Xenopus tropicalis: one gene and its partner. The protein of the gene in region 1 interacts with the protein of each later gene in a pairwise test. Links are inferred from orthologs where the notes say so. Each region holds a gene or a part of one and is shown in the gene's direction. Other genes may lie near its edges.

Region 1 (3,816 bases):
AGTTAGCAAAATAAGTTCTTTTACAAGGGTATAGGCTATATATTATACACACTGCAGTTTCACTGCAATGCCTCTATGCTTGTCATTTTTTAACTGATGGCCATTAACCAAAAACAAAGAAACCCTATATTTTTTGTTAAGAGTTGGTTTATTTATTTATTTTTTCATTTCAAAGCGGGAAGCAGACAGGAACCAGGAGCTCATCACCCGCATCAAGGCTCTAGAGGAAAGGGAGAATGATTTTCAGAACAAACTTCAAGAGCAGAATGAAATGATCAAATCCTACAAGAAAACCATAGAGGCTCAAAGCAAGAAGCTGCTGGAGAAAGAGGACAAACTGTCTGAATTAAATGAGGTATTAAGTCTAGAGTTGCACCGAATTCACCCAATCCTAAATCTTCCATGAAGATGTGAGATTTGGAGCTAAACACTTATTTACTTCCCTAGATGCACTTGAACCTATGTATCACTGAAACAGCAACGTTTTCCTATATCTGTAACCTGGTCATGATTTGGAGGGGGGGGAGAACATAGGGTGGTCCTTTAAGGAGGCCACACATTTATTGCTACTTTTTATGACTTATCTTTCTATTCAGGCCCTATCCTATTCATATTCCAGTCTCTTATTCAAACCACTGTCTGGCTGCAATGGCAGTTTAGACTAGGGAATGTGCATTGATCGATACCCTCTCTCTTTAGTATGATTGTAGTTAATTTGGTTAGATTAGTTGCACTTCCATGTACTTGTATATTTTACTTGGAATGCTCCCACCACCCCCTTTTTGTGTAATTTGGACCCTAGCAACCAGATAGCTGCAGAAATTCCAAACTGGAGAATTGCCACTAATACCAACTGCAACTCTCTGCAGGAATCACACTCAGCATCACATGCTAAAAGTGAATTTAAAACTGAACAACCCCTTTAACAACCTCCAGTTATTTATTGCCTAGCTGAAGATGCTGGGAGTTGTAGCTTAAGCCTAGTATTTATTATCTCTAATGTAGAATGCATAACTCCAGGCACATTGTTTTTTTGGCTTCACTTTCCTTTCTATCCTCTCATTTATCCCAGAACATCAGTGTGTTAAAAGGAAAAGCAACTGAGCTTCAGTGGAAGATAATGAACCAAGAAATGCAAATAAAGACCCAGGAGACTGAGAAGCAGGAGATGACAGAGCAGCTGGAAATCCATCGCAAGTAAGTGTAGGAACCATCTCTTTCCTTAGGGCTGAGGATTTGGCACTCTGCATTGCCTAAACCTGATGCTTCTGTACTCTGAAAAGCAGTTAGCAAGATATGCTTTTTATCAGTAACTTACAATACTATTGGACGCTTTAACTTTTAAATGTTTGTTAGTAGCCTTAAGGGCATGTAGCTCTGCATTACAGAAGGTCTCTTTATATTTAAAAAAAAAAAAAAAAAAAAAAAGGCAGGTTCCAAGTATTCTGGACAATAGGGGCCATGCCCCTATGTGTATGCTAGTATTTACTTCACTGGCCCATTAGATGGATATGAATGCTTTATGTTATTAGGGAGAGAGAATACATGTGTCATCACTGTGTTAGTATCGAGTATAAAGAACATATCTATCAATTTGTACAATAGAAAGGCTGCAATGTGAAAAAAAGCATATTACATTCCTGAAATGACATAGATTGACATAGATTCTAATACTTATTCCTAGTAAGGACTGTGTATCTTGTTAAATTGTATTTAGGAACCTCAAGCTTCACTGGTCAAATCATCGCAATATTGATTATGTGAGAGAATCAACTGCACTAAAGTGTGACTGAAGTCTATCAGAGCATAAGTCACATGGCTGTGGCACCCTGGGAAATGAAGAATGGGGGGGGGGGCGGTGACAGCTCTGAGTTTATACACAGAGATTGTGTCAAGCTTTCAGCCTTCCTGAATTCAGATTTAGGCTTCACATAACCACTAGGTGGTGATTTCAAGATGATGGTTGTTGTATTTACCTATACGTAGGTAAAGCAATATGCCAACTCCCACGCAGGCATACGTATAATACTAAACGGGAGCAATGACTTATGGCTTTGTTACAGTAAATGGAAGATAACCCTTGCTTGTAAAGAAGGTATGTAAGTTATAGCCGCAACTGATCTATCACTGGAGTGTGTAGAACTCTATCTCAACGTAGAAATGCATTACTTTAATTTGCATCACCCCTTATCAATAAACAGCGAAGAGCCTGAGGGCATGTAGGCATTGGACTTTATTGCCTCTTTCCTCTGCAGTTCAGTGTTAACTGCATTCACAAGTGCCTTGGCAATAAATCATCTCTGGTTTTCTGTTTAAGTGGATTAAAATGGTTCTACACAAGGGTGATTATTTTCACTTTGCATGATTAAATCAAGTGGGTTGTATATATTCTCCTAGACTTTTTAAAGATTTATGGCTTGAGTAGACAGGAAATGGGTGCAATTTTATATGTGGCTTTCTAATTAGTTGTTTCACTTTTGGACCATGCTACAAGTGCAAGAGTAGTCACATCTTGCTAATTGTAAAACTTAATTCAAATTGCAAATTTGCAAAACAAAGATCGTCCCACAGTTAATTTCTAATCTTAGCCTCAGAGTTAACCATAAGCAATGGCATTTAGGGTAGTATCATTATAATAAAATTTGTCACCTGTTTGTGGCCCAATCTGCAAAATACCATTTTATCGTGTGGAATCTTTATACAGTCTAGTATGCTCAGAGCATGTGGGCCAGCAAGTCCTCTAGGTGGTACTGCTAACAGGCCCATGTTGGTTCACTTACTGTGTGCCTAAGAAAAGGATGTTTTTTGGAAATTAAGGTGGCCATACAGGGGCTGATAAAAGCTGCCGACAGGCAGTGTCAACAGCTAATCAACGCATGTATGGAGCTCTCCGACTGGCCCACCCGACTGATATCTGGCAGAAAATCGGCCAGATGTTGATCAAGCAGGTTTCAAAATCCTATGGGCAGAAGGAGTGTATTGGTTTGATGGTAATCTTTGCCCCGACAGCCTTCATCCAAGGGCAAAACCGATAAATCTGATATTGCCCACGCATATTGGGGAAAAATCCACTGGCAACCTTTTCAGCGTATGGCCATCAAGATGTTTTTTTTGTCAATTTGATATATCTGATGTAGTACAGGTATGGGATCCCTTATCTGGAAACCCGTTATCCAGAAAGTTCCGTATTATGGAAAGACCATCTCCCATAGACTCCATTATAAGAATATAATTCTACTTTACTTTTTTAAATTTAAAATTTCCTTTTTCTCTGTAATAATAAAACAGTAACTCTACTTGATCCCAACTGAGATACAATTACCCCTTATTGGAGGCAGAACAGTCCTATTGGGTTTAAATAATGTTTAAATGATTTTTTAGTAGACATAAGGTATGGAGATCCAAATTACAGAAAGATCCCTTATCTGGAAAGCCCCAGGTCCCGAGCATTCTGGATAACAGGTCCTATACCTGTATAGCCTGAGCTGCACTTTTCTAGCAAAATGGGAAACTTTAGAGTGTTTTTTATATGCTCTTTGCTGTAGCATCTTGAATTAACTGCAGAAGGGCATTTTTTGAGTATTGGCAGTTGATTGGTTTCTTGTTGAGAAAAGCTGTAGACCATATTCTTTCTTTTGGCCAAAATGGAGTAAACTGAATGTACGATTCTTTTTCTGGCGTTGCTCCAGGATGAAGTAAAGAACAAATAGGAAGGCTACAGAAAACTACTATCCATTAGAGAGGCCCTCTATTGATGTAGAGATATAGATCTCTTGCTCTTATATCTAAATGTAGCATATTTCATATTTCTAATAC
Region 2 (3,338 bases), on another chromosome or scaffold:
GTGGAGCCTGAACTCAATGACTCTCTGGATGCCGATGCGGTGGCCCCCACCCAGCGCCAGTGCCGCAGCAGCCTGCAGCTCTCCCGGGTCCGGCAAACTATGGAGGAGATCCGCCGGCTGAATGTGCAAGTGCAGGAGAAACAGATGGAGGTGCAGGAGAGGCTGAACTGCCCCCCCGAGAGCCAGCGGGGCCCCAACTGTGTCCTTGCGGTGCAGAAGGAGCTGCAGGAGCTGCGCAACCAACTGAGCAATGAGCAGGAGCAGCATCTGCAGAGCGTGAAGGAACTCAAGCAGATATTCCAGCAGGAACAGCACAACATGGTGAGCCCAAGGCCTCAATGGCTGCCATCACTGGGGCCCCTGACCCGGCCCTTGGGCGGAGAGTCCCCACCCCCTTTTTTTATTCTCTCCCTCCCAGTACAAGTCAATATGGCGCTCTTTAAAGGGAAACTGACCCCCATCTCTGAACCTGTCTCCTCCCATTGGAGCTACTGGGTGGGGCTACCTCTGTTCTGTGCCTGTCCCCTCCCATTGGAGCTACTGGGTGGGGCTACCTCTGTTCTGTGCCTGTCCCCTCCCATTGGAGCTACTGGGTGGGGCTACCTCTGTTCTGTGCCTGTCCCCTCCCATTGGAGCTACTGGGTGGGGCTACCTCTGTTGTGTGCCTGTCCCCTCCCATTGGAGCTACTGGGTGGGGCTACCTCTGTTGTGTGCCTGTCCCCTCCCATTGGAGCTGCTGGGTGGGGCTACCTCTGTTCTGTGCCTGTCCCCTCCCATTGGAGCTGCTGGGTGGGGCTACCTCTGTTCTGTGCCTGTCCCCTCCCATCGGAGCTGCTGGGAGGGGCTACCTCTGTTCTGTGTCTGTCTCCTCCCATTGGAGCTGCTGGGAGGGGCTACCTCTGTTCTGTGCCTGTCCCCTCCCATTGGAGCTGCTGGGTGGGGCTACCTCTGTTCTGTGTCTGTCTCCTCCCATTGGAGCTGCTGGGAGGGGCTACCTCTGTTCTGTGTCTGTCTCCTCCCATTGGAGCTGCTGGGAGGGGCTACCTCTGTTCTGTGTCTGTCTCCTCCCATTGGAGCTACTGGGTGGGGCTACCTCTGTTCTGTGTCTGTCTCCTCCCATTGGAGCTGCTGGGAGGGGCTACCTCTGTTCTGTATCTGTCTCCTCCCATTGGAGCTACTGGGTGGGGCTACCTCTGTTCTGTGTCTGTCTCCTCCCATTGGAGCTGCTGGGAGGGGCTACCTCTGTTCTGTGCCTGTCCCCTCCCATTGGAGCTACTGGGTGGGGCTACCTCTGTTCTGTGTCTGTCTCCTCCCATTGGAGCTGCTGGGAGGGGCTACCTCTGTTCTGTGTCTGTCTCCTCCCATTGGAGCTGCTGGGAGGGGCTACCTCTGTTCTGTGCCTGTCTCCTCCCATTGGAGCTGCTGGGTGGGGCTACCTCTGTTCTGTGCCTGTCCCCTCCCATTGGAGCTGCTGGGTGGGGCTACTTCTGTTCTGTATCTGTCCCCTCCCATTGGAGCTGCTGGGTGGGGCTACCTCTGTTCTGTGTCTGTCTCCTCCCATTGGAGCTGCTGGGTGGGGCTACTTCTGTTCTGTATCTGTCCCCTCCCATTGGAGCTTCTGGGTGGGGCTACCTCTGTTCTGTGTCTGCGGCCAATAGCAGCCATGTTTTCTCTTGCAGGGGGGTCGGAAGCGCGCGGAGGAGGAGGAGCATTTGAAGGAGCAGTTGGCGCAGGCGCTGCAGGAGGTACTGGCAGGGGGGTGACTGTGCCATTATGGGCGGGGGCGGGGTTACTGGGGGGCAGTGAGTGACACCCTCCGTCTCCCTGTAGCACACGCAACTGATGCAGGAACTGAACCGCAACAAGAATGACTTCGAGCAGATTATTCAGGCGAAGAATAAAGAACTGCAGGAAACCAAGGTACCATGAGTGTGAGTGAGGGGCTGAGTGTATAGGGCAGTCGCTCCCTGGAGTGTGAGTGAGGGGCTGAGTGTATAGGGCAGTCGCTCCCTGGAGTGTGAGTGAGGAGCTGAGTGTATAGGGCAGTCGCTCCCTGGAGTGTGAGTGAGGGGCTGAGTGTATAGGGCAGTTGCTCCCTGGAGTGTGAGTGAGGGGCTGAGTGTATAGGGCAGTCGCTCCCTGGAGTGTGAGTGAGGGGCTGAGTGTATAGGGCAGTCGCTCCCTGGAGTGTGAGTGAGGGGCTGAGTGTATAGGGCAGTCGCTCCCTGGAGTGTGAGTGAGGGGCTGAGTGTATAGGGCAGTCGCTTCCTGGAGTGTGAGTGAGGGGCTGAGTGTATAGGGCAGTCGCTCCCTGGAGTGTGAGTGAGGGGCTGAGTGTATAGGGCAGTCGCTCCCTGGAGTGTGAGTGAGGGGCTGAGTGTATAGGGCAGTCGCTCCCTGGAGTGTGAGTGAGGGGCTGAGTGTATAGGGCAGTCGCTCCCTGGAGTGTGAGTGAGGGGCTGAGTGTATAGGGCAGTCGCTCCCTGGAGTGTGAGTGAGGGGCTGAGTGTATAGGGCAGTCGCTCCCTGGAGTGTGAGTGAGGGGCTGAGTGTATAGGGCAGTCGCTCCCTGGAGTGTGAGTGAGGGGCTGAGTGTATAGGGCAGTCGCTCCCTGGAGTGTGAGTGAGGGGCTGAGTGTATAGGGCAGTTACTCCCTGGAGTGTGAGTGAGGGGCTGAGTGGATCTGGGGGGCGCTGAGTGGATCTGGGGGGCTGACAGCAATATGAGTAAGGTACTTAGCGTTACTAGGGAGCTGCCGTTGGGCTGGAGGTTCTGATGGTTCTGTTGGGTTTGTTGCAGGAGGAGAAGGAGAAGGTTCGGGCCCAGAAGGAGGAGGTACTGAACCATATGAACGACGTTCTGGATAATGAGCTTCAGTGCATCATCTGCTCGGAGCATTTTATTGAGGTAAGAGCTTGTAGCCCCGCCCCCTGGGGCCCCGTATACTGATACGTCGGTTACCTACAGGGGCCCACTCACTCTCAGGCACTGTATCCCAGAGTCGGTATTCACTCTGTGTGTGAGTGTGAGTGCTGCCCCTGAGTCAGCTGCTATAATGGGGCTCTCACATCTGCCCCCCCAGGCGGTGACGTTGAACTGCGCCCACAGCTTCTGCTCCTACTGCATCAAGTCATGGCGGAAGCGCAAGGAGGAGTGTCCTATCTGTCGCCAGGAGATCCTGTCGGAGACGCGCTCCCTCGTGCTGGACAACTGCATCGACAGTATGGTGGCCAAGCTGAGCCCCGAGATGAAGAACCGGCGGGCCGCCCTGATATTGGAGCGCAAAGGTGAGAGGTGGGTGACCCCGTAGGGAAGCGTCTCATTATTATCCTTATTA

The links.
Region 2: the proteins of mad1l1 (region 1) and rnf8 interact in binary tests that used the Homo sapiens proteins (3 or more experiments, as listed by UniProt). The two-hybrid records come from large-scale screens. The link is inferred for Xenopus tropicalis from reciprocal best matches to the Homo sapiens genes MAD1L1 and RNF8.

The regions. Positions count from the first base shown.
Region 1 is NC_030685.2:31,029,426-31,033,241, reverse strand, and holds part of mad1l1 (mitotic spindle assembly checkpoint protein MAD1), read left to right. Parts: intron 1-175; coding exon 176-355; intron 356-1,072; coding exon 1,073-1,197; intron 1,198-3,816. UniProt on the Homo sapiens protein: Component of the spindle-assembly checkpoint that prevents the onset of anaphase until all chromosomes are properly aligned at the metaphase plate.
Region 2 is NC_030681.2:2,805,292-2,808,629, forward strand, and holds part of rnf8 (E3 ubiquitin-protein ligase RNF8), read left to right. Parts: coding exon of another isoform or gene 1-272; coding exon 273-321; intron 322-1,679; coding exon 1,680-1,745; intron 1,746-1,830; coding exon 1,831-1,920; intron 1,921-2,800; coding exon 2,801-2,908; intron 2,909-3,083; coding exon 3,084-3,288; coding exon of another isoform or gene 3,289-3,295; intron 3,296-3,338. UniProt on the Homo sapiens protein: E3 ubiquitin-protein ligase that plays a key role in DNA damage signaling via 2 distinct roles: by mediating the 'Lys-63'-linked ubiquitination of histones H2A and H2AX and promoting the recruitment of DNA repair proteins at double-strand breaks (DSBs) sites, and by catalyzing 'Lys-48'-linked ubiquitination to remove target proteins from DNA damage sites.